2 linked regions of the Notamacropus eugenii genome follow. The protein of the gene in region 2 binds, or shares a complex with, the protein of the main gene of each other region. Links are inferred from orthologs where the notes say so. Each region holds a gene or a part of one and is shown on either strand. Other genes may lie near its edges. The genes, in order: ODAD4 and ODAD1.

The links.
Region 1: ODAD1 (region 2) and ODAD4 share a complex: the UniProt entries of both Homo sapiens proteins name them as parts of the outer dynein arm-docking complex. The link is inferred for Notamacropus eugenii from reciprocal best matches to the Homo sapiens genes ODAD1 and ODAD4.

What each region holds. Positions count from the first base shown.
Region 1 is NC_092873.1:358,359,480-358,370,483, reverse strand, and holds the start of ODAD4 (outer dynein arm-docking complex subunit 4), read right to left. Parts: upstream 4,327-11,004; 5' UTR 4,224-4,326; intron 3,674-4,223; exon of another isoform or gene 3,496-3,673; intron 3,190-3,495; exon of another isoform or gene 3,090-3,189; intron 1-3,089. Other genes in the region: ACLY (ATP-citrate synthase), read left to right, coding at 8,869-9,027, 9,968-10,090. UniProt on the Homo sapiens protein: Component of the outer dynein arm-docking complex (ODA-DC) that mediates outer dynein arms (ODA) binding onto the doublet microtubule. Plays an essential role for the assembly of ODA-DC and for the docking of ODA in ciliary axoneme.
Region 2 is NC_092876.1:12,891,950-12,903,102, reverse strand, and holds the start of ODAD1 (outer dynein arm-docking complex subunit 1), read right to left. Parts: upstream 5,112-11,153; 5' UTR 4,910-5,111; coding exon 4,145-4,909; intron 4,058-4,144; coding exon 3,944-4,057; intron 3,847-3,943; coding exon 3,779-3,846; intron 3,128-3,778; coding exon 2,940-3,127; intron 2,570-2,939; coding exon 2,435-2,569; intron 2,097-2,434; coding exon 2,014-2,096; intron 1,845-2,013; coding exon 1,673-1,844; intron 1,450-1,672; coding exon 1,292-1,449; intron 1,198-1,291; coding exon 1,094-1,197; intron 736-1,093; coding exon 657-735; intron 383-656; coding exon 302-382; 3' UTR 1-301. Other genes in the region: EMP3 (epithelial membrane protein 3), read left to right, coding at 9,227-9,304, 9,951-10,062, 10,436-10,576, 10,712-10,872. UniProt on the Homo sapiens protein: Component of the outer dynein arm-docking complex (ODA-DC) that mediates outer dynein arms (ODA) binding onto the doublet microtubule. Involved in mediating assembly of both ODAs and their axonemal docking complex onto ciliary microtubules.

The sequences.
Region 1 (11,004 bases), on a different chromosome or scaffold from region 2:
TTTTTTTTGTTGTTGTTGTTAAACAGTGAGAGCAAAATAACTTACTGGAATATAAAGATAAAAGTTGAATGAGCATGCCACTAATGGAGAAAAGGGGTATTTTCACAGAACCAGTTTGCTTTTCCCCCTCCTCATCTCCATTTGAAGTTGATCAAAACATACCATTAACCATTTAGTTTAAAAAAATAGCATTTTGCCTGTGCACACACACCAACTACTTTATGTACAATAAAGGAATGGGGGAAGGGAATCAAAGAAGAGGGAAAACTATACTGCAGTAGTCAGGATGTGTTTGAACCAAACCTTGGTTTTCTAATTATGGATGTATTGTTTTCCTTGGGAGCACAGTTCTGGAGTAGAGGTGTAGATTCTTTTTTTTGTAATCACCCTGTTTGCTGCGGGAATTCATCAATTAATTATATCTTCATCCTCCATTTCCAACAGTGCAGGTTTGTCTGTTTCATTGATTGGTTGCCCATCAAATCAGAATCTGATGTGCCTCACTGACAAACCCTGTTGTTCATAATAGGCTTTCATTAGTTTACTAAGTGGTGTGCACCTCTTAACCTTAAATTGTACCACCAAACCATCTTGCCCTGCCACTTTCAAATTAATATGGTTGTTGTTTTCAGTCTTGACTCCTTCCTTCGGTTTTTTGTCTGCCATGGCTAATCCGGGGGTCTCCTCAACCGTAGCTCACAAAAGAGGCACCAGGATGGTCTGTTCCAAGGGAACTGGGTTGGGGGGAGAGGGGAGGGGAGAGAAGCAGCAGCGAAGGAGGAAGAAGATGGTGGTGATAGTGAGGAAGAGGAGGAGAAAGAGGAGCCTTTTTTTTTTTTTAGCAGAAGAATGATATGGTTGGAAAGAAAAATTATTCCTGCATCTGTATAAAAGACCATTTTGGGCCAAGGGAAGGAAAAGAACAGATATGAGACCTTTCAGGAGGCTCTTGACATTGTCCAAAGAGTATGGTAATGAGGACTATACTAAGGTAACGGGAAAGGAGAAAGGCCAGATAGAGGAATGGACATCATGGTCGGAAATATACTGCTCCAAAATGAGAAGAGCATAGATGCCTAGAAGCTCTCTAGCCTTTCCATGTTCCCTTTTTATCTCTATAGTTGGTTCTGGCAGGAAGAACAGGAGTATGGGAAGGAGCACTTTCTAAAAGGATATGATTAAAGATCATTGGGAGAATATCAATGACATCATCAGTAATTCAGTTGTCTAGGGTGTGGGCAGGACAGGTAAAGAAGCAGCCTTGTCCACCTGCTTCCCGCCTGACTTGAAACTGGATAGGGGATGGGCCAGGGAAACTGTTTACTCTTGGGAACCATTGCAAAACTTGATGTCTGGCACCTTGGTGGCTGAGGCAGAGAGGATGGAAACACGACAATGCTTTGGAAGTCTGGACTGACCTCCTTTGAACTAATGATTGAATGTTAGTTCTGGGCTCCACAGCTTCCTGGGGTCATGGCATAGTTAGGGAGAGACACTGGGCTGGAGGAGGAGGGAGCCCTAGTGAAGTAGTTTTGGTACAGTAGAAAGTACATTGGTTTTGGGGACCCAGGATGTAAATTTGAGTGTTACTTTTGTCATTTATTACCTCTGTGATTTTAGGAAATACATTTAACCTCTTTATGCCTTAGTTCTTTACAAAATAAAAGAGTTAGACTAGATGGCCTTTAAAATTCTTTCCAGAGCTAAACTTATGATCCTTTGATGATGGTACCTTCTCCTAAATGAGAGACATTCCTCTTAAGGCCATATAAATCAGAGATTTGGATGAGATGATCCTAAGGCTCCCACTTGAATTTTTTTCAGGAAACATTACCTAAGAGGGACCTGATCAGGGGACTCCCCCACCATCAATCTGATGAGTTTACTTTTCCCACTATAGAGCAGTAATTTCCAGACTTTATATTAGCAATGCTTACTTTTAAAAAACAAACAAAAAACCTCAAAATTGTCACTACACTTTCTGAGATACTTTACACAATTTAAATGTAATTGTTGAAAATGTCAACAAATCATCTACAACTGTTTTGAAGTTATTTCAATTTTATAAGTTGCAATTCTTTTTAATTTCAAAAATTAACTTATTACATTATACTTAAAATCAATGCTGTTGAGAAATATAACAGATTTTAGGATACTCTGTTCAACTTTGAGTTTGTACCCTTCAGTCTGGTCAGTCAGAAGCAAGTGCCAACTGACGGTGATGGTAGCAGATCATGCCCTATTCAACAGGAATGACTCAAACCTTGACCTTGTTTACCCACAGTATGTTAGAATAGACTTCTGTATTTAATGCCAGAACAAATCTGACACATTACTCTTGCTTTTGGTGACTTCAATTAGAAATGTTTTTGCCAAAAAGAGGATGAATTTATGTAGGAGCTATACTCAATAATTTCAGACACTTCTTTGTGATATCATAAACTTGTCCACCTTCAAGTTTTAAAAACTTAAAAACTCCAGTATTAGCATGCTTATTGGCACCTTCTTAAGAGAACAAAGACTACTCCTCTTACATTTTTTAAAAGGCATTTTATATATATGTATGTATATATACACATATACACACACACAAAGAAATCAGTAGATTCTAGTGCTGGGCGACCCCATATCGCTACTCTTTAAATTAATCGAATTAATTAAATCGAAAATAAATTAATTAAATTATTATAATTATTATATTTTTATTATATTATAATTTATTTGAATTAGTTAATTTAATTTAATCGAAATATTTTGATTTAATGCCTCAGGTTCTCCTCTCCGTCTACCTGGGCTCTCCTCCCCCCTCGCCCTCCTAGAGGGGCGGGAGGAGGGGGGAAGGGAAAGCAGTGTGTGAAGACTCCCCCTCCGGCACGGATGCAGCCCAGGATCCCCTCCCCCACTGCACCCTACCTGGACAGATCTGACCTGACTGCAGCTGTGGCTCGCAGCCTTACCCAGTAACCCGAGGGGGCTCACGACTTGCTAGGCAAGGCCGGGACTGGAGGGCTTTAGAGCCGCCAGGATGCAGGGTGGGAGGGGCCAGCCCCGATCGGTACCCCTTCAGAAGCCCCTCTTCCCCCACATACCCGCTGGTAGGATCCCCATGGCTACCGGCCCCGCCCAGGCATCGGGCCACAGCCCACCGCCCGCACGCGTGGCACCCTATCCTCCGAGAGTCGGCCCCGCCCATCTCCCCACCGATGGCCCCGCCCCCTGATAGGGGAGGGAGGGAGGGCGGAGGCGCAGGACTGTTCAGTGACTTGTGGGGAAGGAGGGAGCGTCTGGGAGGTCAGGAAAGGCGAAGGCGGAACCGAAATTGGGAGGGGCGGAGCGAGGCTCCGAGGCGGCTCGCCAATGGCCCGCGGGGAAAACAGGACTACAAGTCCCAGGAACCCTCAAGTCTGCCTCCGGGGGCGGGGCCGGAGTCGGACAGCGAATAGGAAGAGAGTCTCAGGAACAGGCTAGGAGACACGTGTGGCCAATCCCCGGGATCCGCCAGCCATGAGCAGATGGAAGGGGGTGGGGGGCGGGGAGGAGCCTGGCTAGGCCCCGGACAAAAGCCGGGGCTGGGGCGGCTTCTGCAGGCACAAGTTCTTAGGGGCGCGCAGGAAGACTAAGGGCTGCAAGTAGGCCTTCGGAGGGACCACTACCGAGAGGCGGCCGCGCAGAGGTGAGTCGGAGACGGCCGCGTGGGCCGCGGCAGGGATCCCTTCACCAGTCCGCCCGCTCCCCCCCTCCCCTTTAGCCTTAGGATGGTCGCATCCTGTGCCCCCTTCGCCCTGGAAGTTAGCTTGTTCGGCGCTTCGGATCGCCTTTCCCGGGTTCTCTTTGCACGGTCCGCGGCCATGGTCAGCACGCTGTCCCCCTCCCCCAACAAGCCGGCCATCCACGCATACGCGCGCGCACTCGCATCTCCAGGCTTTGCCCCGGTTTCTTCCCCCGGACCTGGTGTTTGCCCTTCTTCCCGCCTCCGCGCCCCCTCCCCGGCACCTGTCGCTACCCGGTTTTATTCCCAGCCGGGGCTCCGCCACCACTCCTACCCCGCTTCCACACCCAGGGAGCCGGGCACCCGGAGATGACCCGAGCCTGGAGGAAAGGAAATGGGAAAAGCGCGGCCAGCTCGAGCAAGTCCAGAGAACCTGCCCCCCCCCCCCCCCCCCCGGTGATCTTTACAGCCCTCCCCCTCCAGCGTGGGCTTAGGGCTTCGAACCCCCTTAAACCTGTAAGGGTCGTAGGGTCTGGCGGGTGGGCGCGGTTCTGTGACTCCCTCGGGGTGTCGCTGAGTTCTCCCAGGTCTTGGTTTGTTGGAAAGGACCTTGGGAGGTGGGGTCTTCATGGCTGGAGTGGGTGGAGCTGGGGGGGATTAGGTGTTAACGTGATGCCATCTCGTGCGGGCTGCTCCATCCATCCAGATGGTCGGAATGGCTGGAGGACCTCCCCCCACTCCCATCCCCTCCTTTTCTTCCCCTAGTCTGGTTGGAGCGGGAGGAGAGGGCATTGCTGATGGGGATCCACTCTTCCCTGAACTCCCCTCCCCAAATGTTGGCTAGTACAATGTACCACATAGGAGTTCTGGGCTCTCCACTCCACGTGAACCCTTCTTTGGAAGGTGGTTACCGATGACCAGATTGAATCTGAGGGTTTGGATGTTAGGCTACGGCAAAAAAAAAAAAACAGGGGGCAGATAAGCTTCTGGGAGGAGGTTGAGGGTTCTTATTTCTGACCACCTTTTAACGTGATTCCAACCCCCTTCCTTTTAATTTATGCTCTGCTTTAGCTCCCTTTCCTAGTCCCTTCTGCGTTGGTGAGTTAGAGAGAGGCACACCCACCTCCTGGTGAATCTCATGCTGGCACCTCTCCTAGAAGGCCTCAGTCATAGGGGATCCCCAGTGACAGTGGCACAGGCTTTAAGATCTCAGGAAAGGCCTTAGGGTCTTTGGAGTGATACTAGTTTAGGGGAGAGAAAGTAGAGGTAATAAGAGCTTTTCAGCTAATTTGAGTGTCTCACCACATAACATATATGATGTCCTATGTATTAGGTCCTCAAAAGGGGACCCTGAAATGGACTACTACTAGTTCTGTTTTGGGCTTGTGGTCAAAAACCCTGTTCAGACTCCCCTTGGGGAAATAGAGGGTAAAATTTCTCTCTCAAGTCACACTCGAAGAAAAGACCTTTTTAGGGCTTTCTCATTTCTTATCCTGTTCCTTCTACTGGCTCTCCCATTTTTCTCTGATTGGGAGAGCTGATACTTATCTAGATGGGGAACTAGGCTGTAGGGTACTTCCTTCTGTCTTAAAATAAGATGTGTCTGAACTTTAATTTGCTAGGATCCTTGGTGAGGAGTGGGTTTTGATTCTCCTGTTATTCATCTTTTTACATAGAAATGAGTATAACCCCTTTCCCTAAGTGGTCTATAAATCACCCTTCTGTTTATTAGCCAATACCTTTCTTTGTTGTAATAGGTTCCTGGGGCTTTAGTGGTAAATCCTCTGAACCACTAACTCCATTCCCACCCCCACCACCTGAATCTGAAATTGAAATTCATTTGAAATTGAGAATTCGATTTCCGGGATAGTTGGCTGAAGCTCTCTCTCTGGTGGCTTCAGCTGTGGTTGGTGAACTTATTTAACCTAGGCCCTTCAGCCCTGGCAAGATACAAAGAACCAGTTAATTCCTTCTAACTCTAAGATTCTGGGTTTTAAAGTACACTGGCTTCAGTTACCATGTTTGGCTTTGCCTTTCTTTATGAACAGTGAGTGAATAAACACCAGTTCCTGTACTGCAGTAACTAGTAGACTCCCTGTCTCAGGCTGGAAGGACCTACCTTGCATTTGGAAAAAATGCCCTGGGTGTGAATACAGCTCCCCACATTACCATCTCCTTTCTGTTTCTCCTGAGATGTCCCCTTTAGGTATCTGATCCCAGATCTGGGATTTGCAAGCTCTGACCTACAGGTCTTCCTTTAGGACCTTGTTTGAAAATCAGAGATGCAGAATCATGATTGGGTTTGGTAGAAGAATGGGGTATGACCCAATCCGTAGGAGATGACTTAACTGCCCCCTCTCCTCTCTTAGTTGTGTGAACACCTTTCCTCATTGTCTGAAGAATGTCCTTAGTAATTAGTAATTTTTTCCTCTTGCCATCTATTATTTATTCAATGTGTTTTTTTTTCTTGTTCTGTGAGTCCCAGTCACCAAAACCTGTTAATTTTTGGCAAACAGATCATCTGTGTCTGCTCCTCTACTACAATTTTGCTAATGGAAATTATTTGAGTGAAGGGATTAGAATGACAGACTTCTAAAGTATTTCCCAAATGATTGTATTCTGCTGTCTACTGTTTTACCCCTAATGGTCACTTAGGTATGTCTGAGATGTTGAGCATCAGTGATACTGTTACAAGGACATGTTTCCCAAATTCATCTTGGGGATGAGAAGTGAGAAGGGACGATAGAATTAACTTTCCACCTCCATCCCCACCATGGCATTTGTCTGCCCCTGGCTTCATTTAAGGTGAAAACGGGAGGTGTGGCGCATTCTACTTCAAGACCAGTTTTTCTGGTCCCAGAGTCAAGAAGATTGGGAAATTGTCTTTGAGAACTGGGGTAGGTAGAGGTGGAGATGAGGGTTGGAGGGGCTGGTCTGGGAAGTCAGAAGAATCAGCCCCAAATTAAGAAGAAGCAGCTAGGGGCTCCAAGGCAGTTCCAGAAATGAAAAGATCTCCAATTGTTCTCACTGCCATACCTGCTGGTTCTTTTCTGTAGCACTGAGAGCTCAATCTGATTGCACCCATTTTATAGATTGAGTGACTGAGACCCAGCAAGATTAATCTATTTTAGGCCACATAGCAGGATCCAGATTAGAATTTTAAAAGGAGCTAAATTTCCTGAGTTGACAAAATGTATTTCCCTCCTTCCATTGCAGAGGTGTATTTTTTGAGGGGGGAGTATCTGGATGTCTTATAGGAAAAATGCTTCCCTGGGTCAGGAAGGTAAAAACAAAAGATTTCAATACAAGTAAGATAAAATTAAAAAGGATGGGGGGGGCGGGGGGGTGGAGAAAGCTATTCATTCTCCATAAGTGGAGAAGGGAAAGGACAAGGGGGCAGGGGCTGGGTTGGCTGACTTTCAGACAAGAGCCTCTCTCATTAACCTGCTTCTCTTCTGATTCTTGGATGGGGACAAAATTCCAGACACGGCAAGACCTTCAAAAACCCAGACTAACACTGACCAGAAGCCACTAACCTTGACATTTTCCCCAACAAACATAACATTACCTTTCCTGATCTTTATGTGTCCAAGGGAAGAAAGCCTTGTTTTCTTTTTAATCTCACTTATCCAGGCATGGCAGAAGTCCTGACTATATGTTTCTCTCCCCACTCCGTTATCTTTTTTTCTTTCTCCATTGACCTCTGCCTCCCTTTGACCCAGCCTGTTACTTGTACTGCCTTATGGGAGTACAGGACAGGATTGGACAAGGGACGGAGGATAAATGAATGGAGAAATCTTGATCAGGGTTTTGTTCACTTTCTGGAGTTGAGAGGAGGAGGTTGAGATTTGGGGTTCCTAAAAATAAAAAATTCACTTGTTTCTGTCAGTGACAGGAGGTCTCCTTCTGTAGGGTCCCCAGCATCCCAGCTGAAATAAGTTTCTTTAGAGCCTCAGGGGAGCTTTGGAGATCATCTGGTCCATCCCATTCTTGTTTTACATCTGGGGAAAATGAGGCCCACAGGGATGGAGTGACTTGCTCATGAGCCCTTAGTTGGTGGACTGGTATGTGTGGAGTTCCTGAGATGCACAATTACTGCAGCTAAAAGACCTGGCTGGGAGGCTAATAGGCTCATTGTTCTACCTGGCCCACTGGTTTCCTCCTTTGTATAATAAGAATATTCTGGAAGGAGGGTCTGATTTTGGAATATGTGTTGGAAGTGGGCTACCTCAGGCCTTCTGATTGCCAGCCCACAAATACTTCACTCTGTCTTATAGTGAGAAAGACAGAATCCTGGGGTGATAGATGGAGCTTCTTTGGGGAGTAGAGTTGTGACAAGTGGTTCAGAAAGAAATCTAGAAGGAAATTGTGCAATTCTAGTTGGGTGCACTAGAGATTGGGGAGCTGTGTGTGTATGATGAGTAAATTGGGGTCACAGGAGTTTTCCTGTGTTGTATCTGAATCCCCCCATCTCAAGAGTTCTTAACCTGGGTTCTATGAACGTATAGTTATTTAATATTTTGTTAATTATTTCGTTAATGTTTTAGTTATTTTAATATTTAATATTATTTAATTTATAATTATTCATTTGATAATATTCCATGTAAGTGAATTCCCTTGTAATCTTGTGTATTTTAGGTTTTATACTTAAGAACACAAAAGTGTCCACAAGTTTCACCAGATCAGGATACACACCAAAAAGGGCTAGCTGCCCATTCTCATACCCGCCTCCCCATCATCCACAAGATGTGATGGGAATGTAAGGTTTCTTTGCCAGCCTGGAGTGAAAGCAGAGCTGAAATTAGTTCCTCAGAGAAGAGCTATCCCTGACTTCCTCCATGGTTTCATTCTTCTGGCATCTCTTATCCTTCCCTAGTATTAGGGAAAATTTCACTTTATCCCCCTTGGAGCCTTTTTCTGCTCTTCCTCTGAGAGATGCCAAGGTCATCTGTTCTGGTGTGTTTGGAGGGGGGAGTTGGAGCCATAATGGCAAATGGCTCTACCCAGCTGGAACTAAACAAGGGTCTTTATCTGGGAGTCCCAAGCCATGAGACTACAGAGGTTTGGGGGTGAGTGAGAGTTGAAGGTAGGTTCTTTACTGCCTCTTCTTTGACCAGGGGCCTTCTGTTGGGCAGGCAGCGTCTGTCCCTCTTACAGCCATGTCAGCCAAGGCAATATCGGAACAGACGGGAAAGGAGCTTCTCTACAAGTACATCTGCACCACATCGGCGATCCAGAACCGATTCAAGTATGCTCGGGTCACCCCTGACACCGACTGGTCCCACCTGCTGCAGGACCACCCCTGGCTCATTAGCCAGGTCAGCTGCCTCCATATTGAGGGTGGGAGGCGGGTGTCAGTGGAATAGGAAAGCACCCTTGTCAGAGAGACAAGAATAATTATTATTAGATAACAGTCTTTTCTGAGCTTTTTCTGAGGATGGGGGAACCGGGGGACCGGTGTCGGTCAGACAGACAGAGGCTGGTCTGTCTGAATGAATTCACAAGCACTACTCTGTGCTTTGTGTGGCATATACAAATGCAAACATGTTAGTCTCTACCCTCAAGGAGCCCAGGTTCTGTTGTGGGAGAGGGCAGGGATACAATATGCACAGAGTACATGTGCACTAAATACGTCCACAATGATGTTGGGAGGAAGTGGGAGAGGCGGAGGAGGAATAAATGCCTGAGAGGATAGGAGGTATACCTTGAAGGAGGCAGATTTGAGCTGAGTCTTGAAGGGAATTAAGGGTTCCAAGATGTGAGGGTGAGGAGAGGCATGAGGGAAGGGTCCAGTGCAAAGGCTAAGGTAGGAATTGGAAGCAAGATGGTGGGCAAGTCAGGTGTTCCATTGGAATGGAGCAGTTGAGAAGATGCATGGTAAGGTTGGGAATTAGAGCTAGATCTTGAGAGATGCAGAGGGGAGAATCTAAGCTCTTTTTGGGACCAAAGTGTCTGTTCTTTCCCAATGAGGCAGCTAGGTGGTGCAGTGGATAGAGTACTGGGCCTGGAGTCAGGAATACCTGAGTTCAAATCCAGCCTCAGACACTTATTAGCTGTGTGACTCTGGGCAAGTCACTTAACCTCTGCCTGCCTCCATTTCTTCAGTTGTAAAATGAGGGTCATAATAGCACCTACCTTCCAGGGTGGTTCTGAGGATCAAATGAGATAATATTTGTAAAATGCTTAGCACAGGGCCCAGCATAGTGTAGGTGTTTAGTAAATACTTATTTTCTTCCTCTCTTTGTCCCTTTCTTCTAGCAATTGGTGGTCAAGCCAGATCAGCTGATCAAGCGTCGAGGGAAGTTAGGCCTGGTTGGAGTTAACCTCAACTTAGATGGTGTCAAGTCCTGGCTGAAGACCAGGCTTGGAAAAGAGATCACCGTGAGTCTTGAAGGAAGAAGAATGAACTCTCTAGGGGACCCAGGGATGGGACATACATGTTAGCAAACATTTATTTGCTGAACTTATTTAGGTCTCTATTACATCTATGTTGAATGGTACTCAGGCTTCCCTGGGCCCCCTCTGCCTTTTACTACCCTCATAGTGTAGGCTCATGGAGTACCAGCCCATCAGTTAATATTGGTAGAATGTGGCACAGGAGTAATTATCACATACATCCCAACATTAGCTAGGAATATTCCAACATCATTTGTGAGATTCCTGCTATAGATAGCCTTTGTTAACATGGATATTATAGGACACAGTGCCCAGTTAGGCAGTGTAAATGAGGCAGAGCCAGTACTGGTGACTGAGTGTGTGAAGAGCTCATTTTGACTGTAGACAACAGAGTCAAAGTGAATATTAGCAAAGGTGAGAGGGAAGAAAGGGATAATTATCTAATCTATGGTTTAGGCTCAAGAACAATAGTTTCTCATTTTCTCTCCTAGGATTTGGAATAGTATCAGTGATGGCTTGTTTTTTCCCCATACCTGATTTTCCTGTGGCAGGACCACACAAAGCCCAGATATTTAAGAATGGGGTGAGTGGGAGGGGTATAGTGACATTTTTTGTGTCAGGTGACTGGGGTTTAAGGAAGGACAGAGATGGTTTAGAGATAAGATTTGGGGAGGGGAGAGTGGAGGTAGAGATAAGCTTCTTCTTCTTTTTTTTTAAATAAGAAACCCTCAAATTTCAGACCTGAATCTCTCATAACTGTTTCCCAGGGTTTCAGATGGGGAGTTAGTTAATAGAGAAAGTTATACATTTTTCCCTTCCCCAACCTCTGAATGTTCTTGCCTTTGGGGACTGAAGCCTGGGTGTGTGTTTGTGTTTTGGTAGTGGGGAAATAGCACATC
Region 2 (11,153 bases):
CCCAAGGTCACAGCATCACTGGACCCCCCCCTCCCCCCCAGTCTCCACCCAGGCCTCCACTACACTCTGAACTTGGGAAGGGATGGAAGGAAGCAAAAATTCAGGAAAGGGAGAGGCACAACCACCAAAAGACTGTGATGCCCCTAGATATATGGACAGCCAAGGACTCCCAGGGCTGAAGAGACAGACAGAAAGTTGGAAGCCCTTCTTGTGGGGGGTGGGGGGCAGGGAGAGGTGAGCAACAGAGAGGACAGGATCTCTAAGCCAGGCAAGGTTAAATGCTTGGAGGTTGCATCTTGGCCTACAAAGGTTTTTCTGATGCCCTCTTGCTCGGTGGCATCGACATGGGCGACTGTTCCTTGACCTGTTCTCGTTCCTGCATCTGTACTTCATTGAAAGAGAAAGGAAAAGGCAGTCACAGGAAGGTGAGGGCATGCAGAGGGGATGGGGGAGGGGGCAATAAAGAGGGTCAAGAGGACCCTGGAGGTGGTGGGGAAGAGGTATGAGGGAGGTAAGGTGGAGGGGTTGGCCAGGGTGAGAAGGGAGGGAGGAGGATAGGAGCTAGGATGGGGGGGGATGGAACAGACAGGGTGCTTGGGGACCAGAGGCAGGGGGAAGGGCCTCCCACAGACTCCCCCAAGGCCCCCACTTCTCACCGCCTTCAAGACCATGGCTAAAATCTCCTCCCGAGTCAAGGGCCGTTCATCCATCTGCTCCAGCCCCATGGGATCGTCCCTAGGATAAAAGGGCCCACCTCAGCCATACTGGAGTCTGGCCCTCCCCTCACAACCTTACATTTCCCCTTTCCCTGACTGTCCCCCAGAGGACCTTTGTTCCTATACAGCCCAGCTCTCTGTCCCTCTCATCCTGCCCAGCTCTCTGTCCCTCTCATCCTGCCCCTCATTCTTTGTGGCCTTCCCAAATCTCTACCCGCCTCCCATGACTCTGCTCTGCCCTCCAAAGTGCCCAGTATCTCTCCAGGTCTCTGTGAGGCTCAATCTTTCCTCCATCCCTCCATTCCAGAATCCTCCCCTAGGGCCTCCCCTCCTTTGTTCCCATATCTGAGCCCCTGGTATCACAGTCAGCATCTCACATGTTGCTGGGGGCCTGCGGTGGAACAAGTTTCTTGGGGATGGCATCCTCACTCTGGCCCAGGAGCCTGAGGGCGGTGGACTTGGGGTTGTAGGTACTGGATTCCTGAGGGAGGGCAAGGGCAGGGATCAGCAGGGGCACTCAGGCTCAGCTCCCCAGGACAACGGGGGTGGGGGGTGGGGGGGGAGACTTTGCCCACCGAGTTAGTGAAGGCCTGGGTGGCCAGCAGGTCAATCACTCGCTGCTCAGTGAGGCTGAGAAGCAGCTCCACAATCTTGTTCCCCATGTGGCTGCCTCCCAGGAGCTCCTTGAGCTTGGTGTCGTCACACTTGGCCTTGTAGAACAAAGACTGGATGGCTGCAGAGTGGGGCCAGGGTGGGGAGGGTGGGGTCAGTAAGGGCCTGGACAGCCCTGACCGGGGTGGTCCCTCCCTCCCTTCAGTCCCCTCTCAGCTCCTGACTCCTCTCATCTCCTCCTCAATCGCCTTTCCCTGAGCCCCCTCCTCCAAGTCTGTGTGCCCTTCTGCTGAGAAGGGGTTGGGGACTTGGCCAGAGGTCACCTAGGTCCTGGGGTCCCTCACCGGACTTGAGCTGCTCTAGGATCTTGGTCAGATTGCTGTGCTTGACCTCCACCACCTCGGCCTCCTTAGCCAAATCCACCTTTCGCTGCTCCAGGGCATCAAGCTGCTGACGCTTGGCTCCCTTGTCAGCCTCTTCCTGGGCCAAGGTCAACTGAGCCAGGGCATCCTGAATCTAGAGACCAGAGCCACAATACTCAGGAATTCGGTAAGGTCCTAAGGGTCCTTTGTCAGCACAGAACTGGGAAGGAGGGGGAGTTGTGTTCCCATTTTACAGATGAGGAGCCTGAGCCATGGGGGGAGTCAACTCGAGGCTCCCATAAGGGAACAGGGGTGGGACTCACCTCCTGGATCTCCTCCTTGAGCTTCTCCATCTCTGAGTTCTGCTCATTGATAAAGGTGAACTCAGCAAAGTTTCTTTCCTCATCTGAGGTGAGTAGAAGAGAGAGAGAGGGAGATTGCAGAGAGCCAGAGAGAGAGAGAGAAAGAGAGGGAAGAGAGATGGAGTAGATAGGGAACTAGAAAAAAAGAGCAAAGGGGATCAAGGGGAAGTCAAAGGGGAGAGACTAAGGCAAAGAATGAGGGGAGAAGAGAAGGACAGACAGAGCCAAAGGGAGGGAGGGAGGGATCTAAGGAGGCCAAGTTGGAGCTGAGCCAGGAAGGGGGGAGTTGGAGAGGAGGCATGATCTCAGGAGGCCAGGTGGAGCAGCTGCTCTGCCATGGGGCTGCCCGAGGCTGCCGCCCACCCGGCCCTCCACCCCTTACTTTCCAAATATATCTGCAAAATGTCCTCGGCGTTGCTCTGGCCCGTGATCTGGCCCAGCTTTTCCAGCACCTCCTCATACTGCAAAATAGCCTTCTCGTGTGAGGTCTTGCGGAGGCCTGCGGCCACTTCGTGTTCTGTTGGGAGCCCCACTGGTCAGCGGCCCTCTTCTGTCCTGGCAGCCACCCTTCCTTCTCACTCCTCTCTTTTCCTGTACAGTTTCCTCTCAGGGAGGACTGGTTCCTCAGGCCCCTGGGACCCTTTCTCTTAGCTCCCCCTCTGGCCACGGGAAGCTGCTTCTGCAGAAGCATTCAGACAAAGAAAGGCCTCTGACCTAGGTATTATATGCCCCTACCCCTTCCAGTCCTCAGTTTCCCTCACCATCCAATGGGGAGGAGGGTGGACATGACAACATCTAAAGAAGGCACATGCCCTTGTGCTTTCATCTGGGTCTTGATTTCTCTCTATGCTAAATGGAGGGGAAATCTGTGGTCCCCTGGCCCTCACCCCGCTTGCGTCGGGCCTCCATGACCTCAGCATCCACAAGTCTCTCCTGGTTCTTGGTAACCAGGAAGTTGTGCAGCTGCTCGAGGTGGCAAATCTGCCTCTGCACCACCTGCAGCTCAGCATTGTACTGACTTATGTCCTTGTCTAGCTTCTCCTGCAGCTGGCTCAGCTTCAGCTTGGCTTCCTCCCTGCCCAAGAGGGGGCACAGAGGCATATGGGGAAGGGTCACAAAGGCATGTGGGGGGCTGCAGAGACACATTGGGGGAACATGCAGAAGCACATGGGGGGCCCACAGGGACACATGGGGGGGGCCACAAGAGCACAGATGGGGTTGGCCCTCTTGGAAGTCTGGCTCCCTCAGCCCTGGATGGGGTCTCAAGGAAGTTGCCTGAAGACACAAGGAGGGGCTGTACCCTCAATCCTGGCCCCAACAGAGAACCTAGATGAGCCTAGTGTAGGTTAGAGTTGGTTTCCTCAGTCCTAGACAGGGACTGTACCAAAAACATGGAGGGGCCTGGCTCCCTTGCCCTGGAGAGGACAGGGAACATCCCAGACAACAGACTTGAAGGGCCTGTTGACTGCACACCAGGCAGGGTCGCAGAGGTGCCTAATAGAGAGGGCTGGTTCTCTCAGTCTTAAAGAGGGTTCCAGAGACATCTAGAGGGAAGGAACTTGGTGCTGCCCAGGGTCTCAGGAGTCAATCCCAGCAACACTGAGAGGAGGGGGTTGGCTCCCTGAGTCCAACAGAGCCACCCCCAACTTGTCACAAACCCAGTACCCACACTCACCCAGAGCAGAGAGGGCACCCCCTGGCACGCCAGGGAAGAGCCAAAGGTTACCTGGCATCAAAGGCTGAGTTGGATTCGTCTATGTGCGATCTAATGGTGGAGCGGATGTCCTGCAGCTCCTGCTTAGCATGGGCACGGTCATGGGCAACAAGTTGGTGAGGGAGAGAAGCTGAGCCCTGCTCCCGCCTCCCTCTGCCTAGGGCTGGGGGGCCTGACCTTCTTCAGCTGCTGGTTGATATACAGAAAACGATTTCTCTGGATGTGCAGCAAACCCAGCTCTTCTCGAAGGATTCTGTTCCTTACCAGCTGGGTGTCAAAGCGGGTGGTGGCCTGCAGGGCATCAGGATGGCAGGGTCACCAGAAGCTCTGTTGGCCTCCTGGGACCCTCCCCCCCATCAGTGCCCCAGGAGCACCCACCCGGTCTAGTTGGTTCTCCAAGATCTTCACTCTTCGGAGGTCCCGGGCCTTCCTCTGGAGGACTAAGCCTGGGCCCCTGAGGTCCTTCAGCTGCAGCAACACTCGACTCTCCCACTTGGCAATCTGGGGCCCCGTGGGGCCGTGGAGAAGGGACTCGGTGGGTCCTCCATTGGCCGGCAGGCCCAGCCCAGCACTGCCCCCCGCCCCGGCCCCACCTGTTGGTCCAGCTTCTTCAGGTGCTCCTGCGCCTGGATCACCTCCTTGTACAGCTGCTGCCTGCGCTCCAGGAGGTTTCGAAGGTCCTTCTCCCGCGCCTGGTCCAGGAGCTTCTGGGCTTGGCTCTGCGAGATCTCCATCTTCACCCGGAGCTCCGTCTGCTCCTGCTGCAGCCTTTGGATCTCCACCCTGCGGCCGGAGCCCGAGAGAGCTGGAGCTGGCCTGCGCCCTAAGCCACGAACGCCCTTCTCCGTTCGCCGAGCACACCTGCCCTGGGCCAGCCTCCACCCCCCGCACCCGGCTCACATCTGCTTGTGGATCAGCTGCTGGATCTCCCGGCCGTAAGCCTGCCGCTCCGCCTCCATCACCCGGCATTGTCTCTGCAGGCGGCTCAGCTCCCCCTCTGCAGGGCGGGGGGCAGGCGGGGGCCGGGTCAGCTGGAGGGAGGCCGGGCCAGCGCCCCGCTCCGACCCCCCGGCCCGAGCACTTACCGGAGCTATCCAGGTAGGCTTCGCTGTCCTCCGAGCGCACGCTGATGGCCAGCGGCATGGTGGCTGCGGGGAGAAGTCTACTTGGGCGGCCCTTGGAGGGCAGTGGAGGATCCAGGTTGGGAAGTTGGGGGGCACAAGGGCACCGGGGGCCCTACAGGTCTAGACTCGGGCCTCGCCCGATTACGCCCTCTGTTGTGGTCCTGGTTGCTGGGGCTACAGGGCCGGCGGCGGGGATTGGGGAAGCTGGCCCAGGCGGGGTGGGGGGGGAGGGGGATTGGGGCCCCTCCTTCACGCTCCTCCCTCGGGTTTCCCCTTTCCCTTTCTCCCCCCTCCCTCCTTCTCCCTCCCTTCGGCCCTCCCCCGACTCCCTCTGGGGGAGGCTGACTCAGAGGATCTCCTCCAAACCCCTCCCCGGGCCTCGGGCTGGCGGAGCAGAGGCATGCAAGCCAAGGGGAGGGGCGGGGTTGAGAAAAAGGGGCTGGAGCTGAGAGGAGAACGTGGCACCGCCTGGGGGCGGAGCTAAAGCGGTGAGGGGCGGGGTCAAGCGGGAGAGTGAAGATTTAAGAGAGCTTTGGGAGGGTGTGGCTGGGGATGCTGGGGGGCGGGACAAAGGGGACGTGGGTAGTAGAAACTGGGGTGGGGGCTGAGGGGAGAGACTCGGGAGGATTTGAGTGGGAGGGCTTGGGGAGGAAGATGGGGGTTTGGCTGAAGCTAGGAGTTAAGGGGGCGGGACAAGGGGGATTTGAGGGATGCAGGAGCAGCAGACTAGGGGCTGGGGCGGGAGGGAGGAGCTTGTGAGGGGCGGGGCTTAGGAGCTGCCGAGGGGGCGGAGCTAAGGGGAGAAGGGCTCTTAATCTGCGGGTGGCAAATGGGGCGTAGATGGGCGGAGGGAGAGCTGCTCACCGCCGCCTCCCTCCCTCGCGCCCCCGCCTAGTGCGCCTGAGCACCAACGCCCTCGAACCGCTCGGAGCAGGAGGCGGAGCCTCTCTCCGGGGCTCCTCCCCGATTCCCTCAGTGGGAGGGAGCCCCGCCCCCAGCCCGAGCCACCTTCCACGTGCTGCCAGGCCGCAGCTCCCCGGGGCTGGGCCTCGAAGGAAGGCGGGCTGCAGCCCAGCTCCAGGCCGCCCGCGGCACAGGGCGTGCCCCAAAGCTGCCTGCGGTTTCCTGAGGGAGGAAGCAGTAGCCTCCTCGCTCTCCTCCCGGGGCTCAGCATCAGCCTGAGGGGCCCTCCTGGCCCTAGCCTGGTGGGCGCGCCCACCTCCCACCTGCCCTCTCAGGGCTACAAATCCGTCTCTTGTGCCCACGGCTCCCGGTTCGGCCAAGCACGGTCTGCTAGCCAGGAAGGAGCCGTGGGTTTGGAGTCAGAGGCGGCCCTGGGTTCCAATTCTGCTCTGGCTTTCTGTTCCGGATCTGAGCAGAGCTTTGCCCGGTGGCAGATCTGAGCTTCAGATCACATCAAGCCCGGGGCCTCTTCCTGGGTACCGAGCAGTGCTGGGGGACCCCAGGAGCAGCGGGTGCAAAGAGAAGAAAAAGGCCCGTAAAATGAAGGACTTTCCGAAGTCACTGCCTCCAAAGCCCGCTCCTCTGGCTGGTGGAGGCTCCTAGACGGCGGCCCCCCTGCTGCACCCACATTACTTGTATTGTGTTTTAGATCGAATTATCTGTGTATTGGTTATTCTCCCCTCCCCCACTGGAATGAAAGAAACGCCACGGGGGGCGGGGGGCACTATGGCAGTAACTGCTGGGGGGGAGGTCTGCCTTCTCCACTCAACAAAGTGACTTTCCTCAAACACAAATCTGATCAAGTCACTCCTCCATTCAATAAACTCCAATGGCTCCCTGTCATCCACCTCCAGGGTCAAATGCGGAGCCCTCTTGAGATCAAGGCCCGTCCCAACCTGGCGCCCTCCTTCCTTAAACCTCATTCCCCAATACATACTCCAATCCAGTGTCACTGGCCACCCTGGTTTTCCCCAAGCAAGACATTGCATCTCTGGGCTCCAGACATTCTCTCTGCCTATCTCCCATGCCGGGAACACCCCACCCTACGATGTGGTAGACTCTGGGAACCTCCTTCAATCTTCCCACTTAATCTGGCTTTTCACACCCAGATGCCCGTTACCCTTCACCTAGCCCAGCCCTCCATTACCTGTTACCTCTGGATTGCCTCACCTGCTTCCCACTTTTGATCAGTCACCCCAGTCCCATCAAGATCCTCCCTAAACCCCAATTCCCATCACCCTAGACCATCGCCAGATCCCTCACACAATCTTTCTGTATATAAATTCCATCTCACCTCCATGAAGGTGCTCAGATTCAGTCTGGCTTAGATTCAATCTCGCTGAGATTCTATCTGGCCCACTTGTCAATACAAGAGGCTTGTTAAGAATCAACCCAAAATGGCAAATCTTTAATAAACTTTGTTTTACTTTGGCTGAAAGAAGATTCGGGTCGAATTCATTTGGGTGTCCTGAGCACCCAAATCTCAACACTATGGTTTCCTGACCTCAACACCTCCACTCTGATACTGACCTCCCCCAAAGCTTTCCCCAACCCTCTGAATCCCAGCTCCTTCCCCTGTTAATGTCCTACTTATCCTGTCTACAACTTGCTTTGTATATACTTTTGTGTGTAGTCTACCCCCATTAGATCATAAACTCCTAAAGCTATCTTTTAGCCTTTTGGCGGGAGGAGGGGCATCCTCAGCCCTTAATACGGTGCCTGGCACATAGTCGGTAATTAATAAACATTTACTGACTGGTTGGCTTCCCAAGTCAAGGTCCTACCTTCCAGCTACCTTCCCCAGCCCTCAGTCTCTGCAAGCCCTGGGATCAGGGGCAGTGGTGACAGAAAGTGGAAGACACAAGGCTGAAGTAGACAAATGAATAACTTGAAAGACACAAACATAGAGATACAGAGACAGAGAGACACCCAGAGAGGGAAAGACAGAGAGACATAAAGAAAGTATGATGGTGCATGATTCAATGGAAACTTGGGTCCCTCCCAGGCTTCTCCTGCTTGTAAATAAAAAGGAAGTTAGAGAATATATCCCAGAGGCAGAGGAGAGACACCCACAGACAGAGAAATGCAGAGAGAGGCAGAGACCTAGGCGGGGTGGAAGAGAGAGAGTGGTTTGGACCGTACTGAGAAGGGAGTGGGTCTTCAGAGGAAGGAAGAAGGGAGGGAGGCGGGGGCCGGGCAAGAGGTGGAGAGAAGGAGGGAGAGAGCAGGGCGGGGCAGGGAGGCCGGGAAAAGGGACCGAGCATTAGCTCTGACTTCCTCTGGCTGCGCTGGCTAAGTGCTTCTCCGTTATTTGAGAAAGAAAGGAGCCTTTGAGACAGGAAAGACCCCATCTGCCTCCAGATACCTTCTACCTGGCCAAGGAGAAGGTGAGAATCCTAAAGCACTTAGTAGGTATGGGAAGGGAAGAGGAAGGGGACAGGAAGGGGAGGGGGCAGGGAGAGGGGAGAGGCAACACTCTTTGAGATCCACATATGGGACATTCCCTTCCCCACAGATGCTGGGGGTGGGGGGAAGTAGAGGGTGTTCTGCCAAAGACCCCAGCTGTCTCTTCCTGCCTCGTCTTCCTTCCTCCGGGGATCCAGACATCTGAGCTAACAGCCCTTACTCCCCAGCTCAGGATTTCCTGTCTTTCTCCTGTTCTAACTTCCAGACCCCAATTCTCCCTCTTGGCCAGTTCTCTGAAGAGACCCAACTAATTCCCTTAACTGCCCTGCACTAAGCCAGGCATCCCAAGCTTCCTACACCTCAGTTTTGCTCTCCTAGGGATCCCCACACTTAGTCCTGCTAGCACCCAGACCTTTACCACTCTATCTCACTTCCATAGCCCTGAAAGGCCCCAGGTGTTTGGCTGCCCTGCCCTAGACCGAGCGATGACTTGAGGAGGACAGTAGCAAGGCCCCAGGGCTGGGGTTTCTCTGGTGGGAGAGAAGGGAATGAGTCACAGTGACTCATGTTGAACCCCCACCAAGGAGCGGGGGAAGACAGGAGGAGAGCCTAGTGGAGTCTTAGTCCCTAGGGCAGCGCCCCACTCCAGCTCACAAACTGGGGACTAGTGGGGAGGAACTAGGTGGGGCAGGTTTCAATCCTCATGTCTGGGTTCTAGTTCTTAGAGGGCCCAGATGGTGCAAACACAGGGAGTGTGGGAGGGGAAGATCCCCCTGCAGCTCCACTCCACACACGCTTCCCGCCCCCCCCCCCCCCATCCTTTGAGGATGCAGGCATCTCCTTCAACTCCACTGGGGAATATCCAGGCTAGATCCCCAGGCCATGCCCCTAAACTCCCCCCTTGGGAGTGTCCTCCATACCTAGGTGCCAGCCTGGCTCTCCCCTCCCCCCAGACTCTGTGGGCATCATGTCCCTGCTCCTGGTGGCTGTCTCTGCCCTGCACATCCTCATTCTCATCCTGCTCTTTGTGGCCACCCTGGACAAGGTGAGATTATGGGTTCAGGGAGGGGTGTTCTGGCTCGGCCCAGGGCTTTCCTCCCTGCTCCCCCCCCTTCCCTGCCTTTTCCACCCCTGCGAAAGCATCTGGCCGTGCGATGCACCTCAATACAGGCACCTTTGGGGTAGAGACAAAAGTGAATGTCCTTGCCTTCAAAGAGCTTACCGCATATGGCAGAAACAATGGTACACACAGGTACATGCACACACACACTCAGACACACACTTGTACATACATACAATAGATGGATGTACATACGGGGGAGGGCCCTGCCCATGGGCGCAGAGGGAAGACATCCGAGGATGTGAGGAAGGGGATGTACCCCAGGAAAGGGATGGGGAGGGCAAAGATGATGAGCCCATAACCTGAGGGGATCCCAACGAGAGAAAGACCTTAAAGCTGAACAGAGGGGTTGACAGCTTTAGCCAAGAGCCAAGGAGTCCGGACACTTCACTGAGGGGGAGGCAGAGATACAGTCAAACTGGAGTTTAAGGAAAATCCCTAGGACCCCACCCATCAATTCCCCTCCTTCCAAGCAGGCTCTGCCCCTCGGCCACCCTCCCCCCCACCCTCCCCCGTCCCTAATTCTTGTTCTCTTCTGCCTTTTTTTTTTTTTGACCCCGACTGGTCTCAGTCATGGTGGATTCTCCCTGGGAATGACTCACTGAACCTTTGGAAGGAATGCTTGGCCCATTTGAACCAATCTTCCCGGGAGATCTGGCAATGCAAAAATGTCAGCGAAAACGGTGAGGGAGAGCACCCCCCAAAGCTCCCCCCACCCAACTACACCTCTGCATGGAGGGGGGGGCAGAAGGGTTTGGATTGCCACAGCCCATTAACATCAGTCCCAGGGGTCAGCCCCCAGTTCTGAGGGGCAAAGTCCCAAGGCCCCAAGACAGCCAGGGTTGGGATTCCACCTTCTGAGGAGGGTGGGGCCAATGCAAACAAATGAATGAATGAAATAGCATTTATGAAACACTACTATACCAAGCATGGTGCTGGGGGCCAGGAGTGCCAATACAAAAGGAGCCGGGTTGCTGCCCCCTGGGAGCTCCCAGTCTAACCAGGCAGACGTAGGGAAGGGAATGGCAGCTAAGAGTCTCCGGCTCTGCTCCCCAGGTTGGCTCAAGGCCGTGCAGGCCCTCATGGTGCTGTCCTTGGTGTTCTGCTGCCTCTCCTTCATCCTCTTCATGTTCCAGCTGTACAACATGAAACGAGGGGGTCTCTTCTATGCCACAGGGCTGTGCCAGCTCTGCACCAGTGAGTGAGCCAGGGCTGGGGCCTCGGGCATGGGTGCCCCTTGGAAGGGAGGATGGGGAGGGGAGGGCAGGCACCAGACTGGGGGCTGCAGGGAGGGGGTGGGTGTGACTCCCTCTGCCCTGCCCCCTCCCCTAGGTGTGTCAGTGTTCACGGGGGCCCTTATCTACGCCATACACGTCAAGGAGTTTCATCATGCTGGAGGCTCCTTCGGCTACTGCTTTGCCCTAGCCTGGGTGGCATTTCCTCTGGCGCTGGCCAGCGGCATCATTTACATCCACCTGAGGAAACGAGAGTGACGTCCCCCTCCCCTGGCCAGCTGGCCCTGGCTCACAGCCCCCGAACCAGTGAGACAGCAGCCTCTCCAGCTGCCTTGTCCTGGGCTAGGTCCTGACCCTGGCCAGTTTCCTCCTCTGTGGAATGGGGGAGTAAGAAGAAGCTTTCTCGGTCCTCTTCCTCTTCCCTGCCCAACCCCTCTGACATGCACTTCCTGCCTCTAACACGGTACCTTGGGGGCCTTTCCCGCTCTTACTCAGGCAGCTGGTGCCCAGATGACCTGGCCAGGAGTGAAGACCTCAGT